Xenopus tropicalis: one gene and its partner. The protein of the gene in region 1 binds, or shares a complex with, the protein of each later gene. Links are inferred from orthologs where the notes say so. Each region holds a gene or a part of one and is shown on either strand. Other genes may lie near its edges.

Region 1 (3,960 bases):
TAAGGCTTATTTTGGATCTCAATCCATACATGGTGACACCCCCTAAAGAGTGTTGGTACATAATAGTAAGGTGCAGGTTAGCAGGGCCAGAACAAAAAGGTAAGAAGGTAAGACACGCTTAGCAGTGGGCAGGGGGTATTATCACAGGAACAGGGGAAGTGCAAGCCAGGGGCTGTGTGAAACTAAAAAAAGTAGAATAGGGGGGCTTGCAACTCCAGTTAGGTAATAAGAAGTGGGGATGTAGGGTGCTGGCCTGACAGTATTGCCTAGGGCACCAGTACTACTTGGCCTGGCTATACAGCAGGGGTGGGCAAACTAATCCGGCCCGCCGAGCATTGGTGTGTCTCACTTTTCCTAAGAGACCGCAGTCCCCAATCTTGTCTTTCAGCAAACCCCGACACTGCAAGTCTCATCACGCAAGACTTGGCGTCAAGACTGCATGTAAGCGCAACGCAAAACCTAGGGGACTGACGAGTGGAGACGGTGCTGGCCCGACCCGACTGTCAAATTTTAAAAGTCAATGTGGCCCCTGAGCCTAAAAGTTTGCCCTCCCCTGCTCTACAGGTTAGTGTACAAAATCCGAGTGGCAAAAAATACCCTTTAAAAGCGCAAAATTACATTTTCTCCTAAATAAGCCCTTGTTTTGTCCCTAAATTGTGTCCATGGCCCTTTGGGCACCTTGGGTGTATAGGCTCTCATGGTGGTGGTATGATTATAGAAAAAATTCAGTCTTTTTTTTGTTGTCTGGCTCAAGTTGGAGCTCTTAGAAGACATAACTCATTACATGTGTGATTTACTATTGGGAGCAGCGATTCTGGCGGTTATATTATTACTTATTATTATTGCAGCCTGTGTCGCACACATGATTACTGAACCTCCTATTTTTTTGTAATATTGTATTTATAAGGGCTGTGACGGACAAAGAACGTAAAAGATTTTTTTAATTCTACCCTGTCAAAAAGTTGTAAACAGGGAAACTATGAGTGGATGCCTGCAGCCGGCCATACCCTGCACACAGTACCACACACTACTAATAGTATACGCTCACTGGAACAGTAGAACGTAGCCGAACTAGCCGAACGTGGCTACGTACCGCGTCACTGCGCTGATACACTGGCTGTGTGACGCCACTTCTCGCGAGATGAGACTTGCGCTTGAGCCTTAGTTGCCCGGCAGGAGCCGAGGACCTGGGACATGTAAGCGGTGTTGGGGACATTTAAGCAGCCACAGTGACAAGGAAATTGGCCCTGTAAGCGGTACGCAGTTGCACTGTTATTATCCTATAAGCTGCATGCTATGGAGGTGTAGAACGTAATGTCCACATTGCACATAGTTCTGATCTGGAGTAATGAGTAATTGGTAAAGTGCCTGTGGATATAAGTTTCGTATGTTGAAGTTACACATGCTGCCAAAATACAATATAGAGTGGCTATAGAGTTCATATGGAGTGTATGTCAGGTCTAGGGGACTAGCCACACTGTAGCCCTCAGGTCTAGGGGACTAGCCACACTACAGCCCTCAGGTCTAGGGGACTAGCCACACTACAGCCCTCAGGTCTAGGGGACTAGCCACACTACAGCCCTCTGGTCTAGGGGACTAGCCACACTGCAGCCCTCAGGTCTAGGGGACTAGCCACACTGCAGCCCTCAGGTCTAGGGGACTAGCCACACTGCAGCCCTCAGGTCTAAGGGACTAGCCACACTGCAGCCCTCAGGTCTAGGGGACTAGCCACACTGCAGCCCTCAGGTCTAGGGGACTAGCCACACTGCAGCCCTCAGGTCTAGGGGACTAGCCACACTACAGCCCTCAGGTCTAGGGGACTAGCCACACTACAGCCCTCAGGTCTAGGGGACTAGCCACACTACAGCCCTCTGGTCTAGGGGACTAGCCACACTGCAGCCCTCAGGTCTAGGGGACTAGCCACACTGCAGCCCTCAGGTCTAGGGGACTAGCCACACTGCAGCCCTCAGGTCTAAGGGACTAGCCACACTGCAGCCCTCAGGTCTAGGGGACTAGCCACACTGCAGCCCTCAGGTCTAGGGGACTAGCCACACTGCAGCCCTCCTTCTGTAGAACCACAACTGAGTCTTGACAGCTGGAGGAACACAGGCCAGACATAAGCTGGCCCCCATGCAAGAAAGTGTACATTGCTTGGCGAGCCCCAGATTGTGGACAGTGTCTGTAAAGCTGGCAATACCCATACTGATACTTTCCATACTTGCTGGCAAGTTGCTGATCCACAAAGCTTGTGGATCAGGCAGGTTTGAAAATGTAGTCTATTGCTGCTGCACTGTGTTGCCTGTGGTACCTAGGCCGATTTGGAAGTAAAGAGGAGCTGCAGTTGTTCTTTCCTTCCTGCTCTTCTGGTCATTGAGCCATCGTTTGACCACCACTGTTTTCTGCCTGTAGAACACCCAATCGGATGTCATGAACACACCTGTACTGTAGCACGATGAGTGATATTAAGGTTTTTTTTTGTATAACTGTAACCTTGTTATGGGGTAATGGTTGGCTGTTATAAAGTGTTATACCTCAAGTAGTAATGTGCGGGTTGACCTGCAACCCATGGGTTTACCCATAGGTCAGGCTGGTTAGGATTAAAATTTGGGTGACCTTTGCAGGTTTGGGTGTAGGTCAGAAGAAGTGCACTCTTTCTCTTCTCCCGAAGTTCAGGTTAAGGTTTTGCAGGTTAGGGTGGGAGATGGGTTGAGTTTTTCCTGACCTGCACATCTGTAACATGTGGTTTTTTTGGTTTATTTTTGTTTTTTCTGGTTTCTTGTCATCACATTATTTAGCTATTGGAAACAGAGTTTCCATTGAAGCGGAGACCATTGGCATATATGTCAGGAGAAAAAAGGGAACCCTTAATTGACTCAGGGCCAAATTAATTACCTCCCCAAAACAAAAAGTTTAAAGGATGTGATCAACTGAAGCTATTCATACACACCAATAGAAGCTCCTGTCCCTCTGCAAGCACCCTGTTAATCACTTAATGTAAATTGTGTTTTAGGTCTGCTAACATGAAATTCCTATGCCATCCTTAGAGAAACAAGAAGAATGTCTCTGATGAATGAGAATATCACCTAACCAATGAAACACTTGGCACCATTTTTGGTAAGAATTGTACTAGAAAGCAACTGTATTACAAATTGTTTGTAAGCATGTTATTAAGAATTCACATTATTGTGAAAAAAAATTGTAATACAAAAAGAATTTTCTGTGAGTGGCAATTATGCTGATCAGGGCATAATGTCAGAGTGGGCACACCCTGGGTTATTACCACTTTCTCCAGAGAGAGAGTGTACAGAAGATAGATAGTCCATAACAATTGGAGACAGGACCCTATTCTAAAGTCTCGTATTTCTACCAACCAATCTTCACCTTTAATAGGGGTAGAACTATAGAATCTTTGGTGCCTCCAAGTTTATTCACAAAAAATAGTATTATGGATCCCTTTAAAGAATTTGTGTGGAATCATAACTCTAAAAAATACAAGATTCCTTTTTATGCTAACTTCAATACTAGTGAGTGCTGCCAGAAAGTGAGACTACCAGAGACCAGTCAGAAAGTGGATTTCAGAACATATTAATTGTGCCTCTAGAAGGGATATGGGTTCATTTGGTTAAACAGCATTAAGGTAGGGTTTTGGTTTTTTTTAGGTGATATTTGTATGCTTTTAGAGTAATTTATTTATTTATTTTTCAACCTTAACGAAACTTTATAAGATCATTATTTACATTTACATTTTTAGATTAATTGTAGGTTAAACACTGTGCTTATATCCATTCTTTGTTCTGTTTTGCCTACAGATGTTGATTGCACGATACAGACTGTAGTGGCCCTAACAAAAAGACTTCTGTGGAATGAAGCTCCAGCGGGTACAGCTGAAGTGTAAGAATTTGCATGAGTTTCTTCAGGAACTCAGCCCAGGGGTGCTCGATCAATTGTACAACCATCCAG
Region 2 (3,957 bases), on another chromosome or scaffold:
CATTTCCCAGGGTGCCACAGCCATGTGACCTGTGCTCTGATAAACTTCATTTACACTTTACTGCTGAGCTACAAGTTGGAGTGATATCACCCCCCTCCCAGCAGAACAAAGGGAAGGTAGCAAGATAGCAGCTCCCATTAGATATCAGAATAGCACTCAATAGTAAAAAATCCAAGTCCGGTTTTGGACTCCTCCAGTTACATGGGAGTAGGAGAAACAACAGATTGCCGAAAACAGTTCTAATGTGTAGTGCTGGCTTTTTCTGAAGACTCAGACACAATGCACTGAGACTGCTGCCTACACACCAATATTACAACTAATATCCTGCTGGGCCCCGCTAGACCCTGCTGGCAGCCCACCTCTCTCCTTTATGGCCCCAACCCACCCAGCACTTTGCTGGGCCCTGGCAAATTCATGCTTCAGTGATAAGCCCTAGCCACCTGCTCACCTATCCTTCACCTTGTTGGGCCCCACCAGGCCTGGCGACTATGTCCCGAAACAAAACCATTTTCGTGTTGAATGGGAGTTTAAGTTAAAAATGGTCATGTGTTCCGCCATCTTTAATTTTTTATGCAGGCAAAACTTTCAGAGGTGGCGCAGGTAAGAGAATGAGGATCTAAGGAGCAATAGAAGAACAGATATAATTGTCTTTGACAGAACAGGGCAAGCAGCATGAAGGCATAAAGAAGAAAGGTTTATGACATGCCTGAGATAAATGTGCTGATACCTACTTGCTGCATTCATTTTACTGGCATGTGTAAAGTTAATACTTACATTATCAATTTCTGCAGGTCTAGAGTAAATGTGATCATAAATTATTTAACGCAGTGATCTTAAGTGTATGTCTGGGTAACTATAACTAAAGTGTGTGGCAAACGGCATAAAAATGTTGGCACCATGCTCAGTGCATTTTTAGACCCCAAAGTTTCAGATTTACCGCTAAAGCCCCATATTTTGTTGCAATATACTTGAGACATGATCTACAATGTTAGGTGATGGGTACCAGGTGCCCCAGTCCGACACCGCCTTTAACTAGTCATCCTGATCGTTAATGATCCATATAGAACTCAAACTCTATTGTTTGTAGCCACGAAAGGCAACCCCTTTCTGTACGCGCTTGATCTCTGTGGTCTCCGGTTCTCAACTTCCGGTTTCCGGTTTCTAAGTTGCTGTGTTGAGAGGATGCCGTACGCGAACCAGCCTACAGTGCGGATAACGGAGCTCACTGACGAGAATGTCAAGTTTATCGTGGAAAATACTGACTTGGCGTAAGAGACCTTTGACTGTTATGGCAGAATAATGGGTTTAATTGCTTTTTTCAGAACGATGTGTGGTGTGCATGTTGCATACTCGCTGCCCCAGACTGCCTGTCTCTCGAATCCCAATTCCTGAGACCCCCACATTTATAATGAGTGGTAAAGTGCGAGGGAATGGTTAGGTGGAAATAGAGTTTAGATTTTTATTTTTCCAACTTCGGCTAGGTATGATGTGGTACTTATTCACCATTGTGTCATGTATCTACTTTGTGTTATTCTGTTGTTTCTAATTATCCTAAAAGTGTAAATAATAGTGTGACTATATCACCATATGATGACGTATGTCATGCTGGGTACCACTGGTTTCCTGGACGCATCTCTTCTCTAAAGGGCAACTAAAGACATGATAGAGGTGTGACAAGTTGGCTGTTAGGCGTATGTAACCCACATATTGTACATCGCTGCAGAATATGTTGGCGCTTTATAAATAAATGTTAATGTAATGTAATCACTCCTTCTTTGGGTTCCACTATTTTCTGGTGCTTCTGTATGAAACTGTTTCATTTCCCTCAGGGTCACCTGTTTGCATGGATGCCCATTCTTCTTTTTAACCTTTTTTGATTGAGAATATTTATTTTTGGTAGTTCTTTTAACCCTTTTGGTTTCCCATGTGTTCAGGAGCAACTTCTAGTTCACCTTTTGTGTCTGTTAGTAGATTATATAGTGCCTGGCACCTAAAGGGTTCATTTAAAAAAAAAAAAACTGCATGTTTTCATACCAATATCGCTAACATACTTTGTAAAGGAGACATATTGGATAAATGGGAAAAACGCTAATTTTGTAGGCAATTATGAATAATATACGGTTCTGGTTTCTGTTTGTGCTAAAAATTAATCTTCTCTGTAAAAATGGCCCCTTTATTGGAGCTCCCTAGTGTGAAATGAAGAATGGGCGTGTCCTAACAGTACCTGCCAGAAGCACAGTAGGAGGGGGAGAGCCAATCACAGCCCTGCACTCAGACAAGCAAAGACAGGCTTCAGTTCCCTATCAGGTCAGCCTAGCTGCTGATTGGTTCCTATCCTACAGTGCAGTGTACGGAGGGCCGCCGGCTCCCCAGCTCATCCAGAGAATTCAGCCAGCAGGAAGTGGAACAGATGGGCGGGGCTAGTGGGGTTTTTGTGGAATTTCTCAATAAATCAGTCTGAAACACAACATTATTAAGCACAATCGTTCTATATCTAGAGGAGTATAATTCACTATAATTCATTCATAATTTTTATAGGATATGTCTCCTTTAAGAGGCCTCAAAGGCATAAAACTAAATTTAGAATTAGAAGAAATGGAACACTGCTTCCCATGTAAGGTAGTAATCATGCTGCACTTGATTTTTTATAGAACCATTTTTAGGAAATGTGTATTTGAGTGCTAAAAATATGCAGGTATTATTGCTATAAAATAATGAGTAAAAGGAAAAATTGTTACACTTGTTCCTCTGTATAAGCAGCCATTAATTATCTAATACTAATAAACCTTTTTCTATTTCAGAATTGCTAACTCGATCCGTAGGGTGTTCATAGCAGAAGTTCCTACTATAGGTATGTGCTCTTGTCCTGCATAAGAAAGGTTAAAGGGCCCTTGTTCAGCATGATTGCAATAAAGCTTACCTGAACAGGAAACACTCAGTGCAGTGTTTGTGAGCATTAATGTTTTATTACATTAGATCTCAAAACCCCTTGTAATGCATTCTGGTGCCCCTTACATTAAAATAACACATTTTTGTTGTTTATGTTTTATTTTACAGCTATAGATTGGGTGCAGATAGATGCAAATTCCTCTGTTCTTCACGATGAGTTCATAGCTCACAGAGTTGGTAAGTACTTAAAGATAAATTTACATTGAGTAGCAGGGCAATATTTCTAGTTAAGGCTACTTGCACTACTAGCAATACGTTGTCTAGCTTGTTTTGCCATTAGGGAGAAACTCCAGTTGCTATTGTACAGCGCTGCGGAATATGTTGGCGATAAGTGATACTGACAAGAAAAAACTACTTTTTAAATTATGAATCTACATAAAAAGTTACCAATAGGTCATGTTGATCAGTTTTTGTTGATAGGTTTGCTTTTATTAGCAATTGCTACTTAAACCTGACTGTTTTCCCAACCTGACTGTCCCTTCTCAGCCTGTCAGTTATAGCTTCTAATGCTAACGGACTCCTGCTGCACAAATATGGCCGCTCCCTCATAGAGGGACATGGGAGATCAGATAGGTAATGTAAAAGCATCTTGCAAATACTTTTATGGCAAAATTATAAAGCTCATGAAAAGACAGTGTTATGATAGATATAAAAAAGGTTTTTTTTTCTGGTGTCAGTATCTCTTTAATAATAATAATAGTGCAAGTGTGTTATTGTCTAATTCTGCATTTCTCTCTCTCTCTTTTTAGGATTGATCCCTTTGACCAGTGATGATATAGTAGATAAACTGCAGTACTCTAGGGTAAGTGCTTTGTATTTGAAACTAATTAAATCTATTTTAAATTAAAGAGGTTGTTCACCTTTCAAGGTATAGTGACACTTTCAGAGTTTTAACAGGAATGCGTTTCTAGACATCCATACGTTAATAACCTGTGTTGGTCTCTGGCAGGGCTTGGAGTTCAACAGCTTTGTGAGTGATGGAGTGCTTGGGGGTGGGACAAGTTTTTG

What was found. Proteins that work in one complex are often made in the same cells at the same time.
Region 2: gtf2h4 (region 1) and polr2c share a complex: the UniProt entries of both Homo sapiens proteins name them as parts of the TBP-based Pol II pre-initiation complex. The link is inferred for Xenopus tropicalis from reciprocal best matches to the Homo sapiens genes GTF2H4 and POLR2C.

The regions. Positions count from the first base shown.
Region 1 is NC_030678.2:143,601,456-143,605,415, reverse strand, and holds the start of gtf2h4 (general transcription factor IIH subunit 4), read left to right. Parts: upstream 1-1,160; 5' UTR 1,161-1,256; intron 1,257-3,010; 5' UTR 3,011-3,114; intron 3,115-3,809; 5' UTR 3,810-3,863; coding exon 3,864-3,960. UniProt on the Homo sapiens protein: Component of the general transcription and DNA repair factor IIH (TFIIH) core complex, which is involved in general and transcription-coupled nucleotide excision repair (NER) of damaged DNA and, when complexed to CAK, in RNA transcription by RNA polymerase II.
Region 2 is NC_030680.2:76,284,864-76,288,820, reverse strand, and holds the start of polr2c (DNA-directed RNA polymerase II subunit RPB3), read left to right. Parts: upstream 1-1,157; 5' UTR 1,158-1,182; coding exon 1,183-1,268; intron 1,269-2,801; coding exon 2,802-2,851; intron 2,852-3,057; coding exon 3,058-3,126; intron 3,127-3,698; coding exon 3,699-3,751; intron 3,752-3,957. UniProt on the Homo sapiens protein: Core component of RNA polymerase II (Pol II), a DNA-dependent RNA polymerase which synthesizes mRNA precursors and many functional non-coding RNAs using the four ribonucleoside triphosphates as substrates.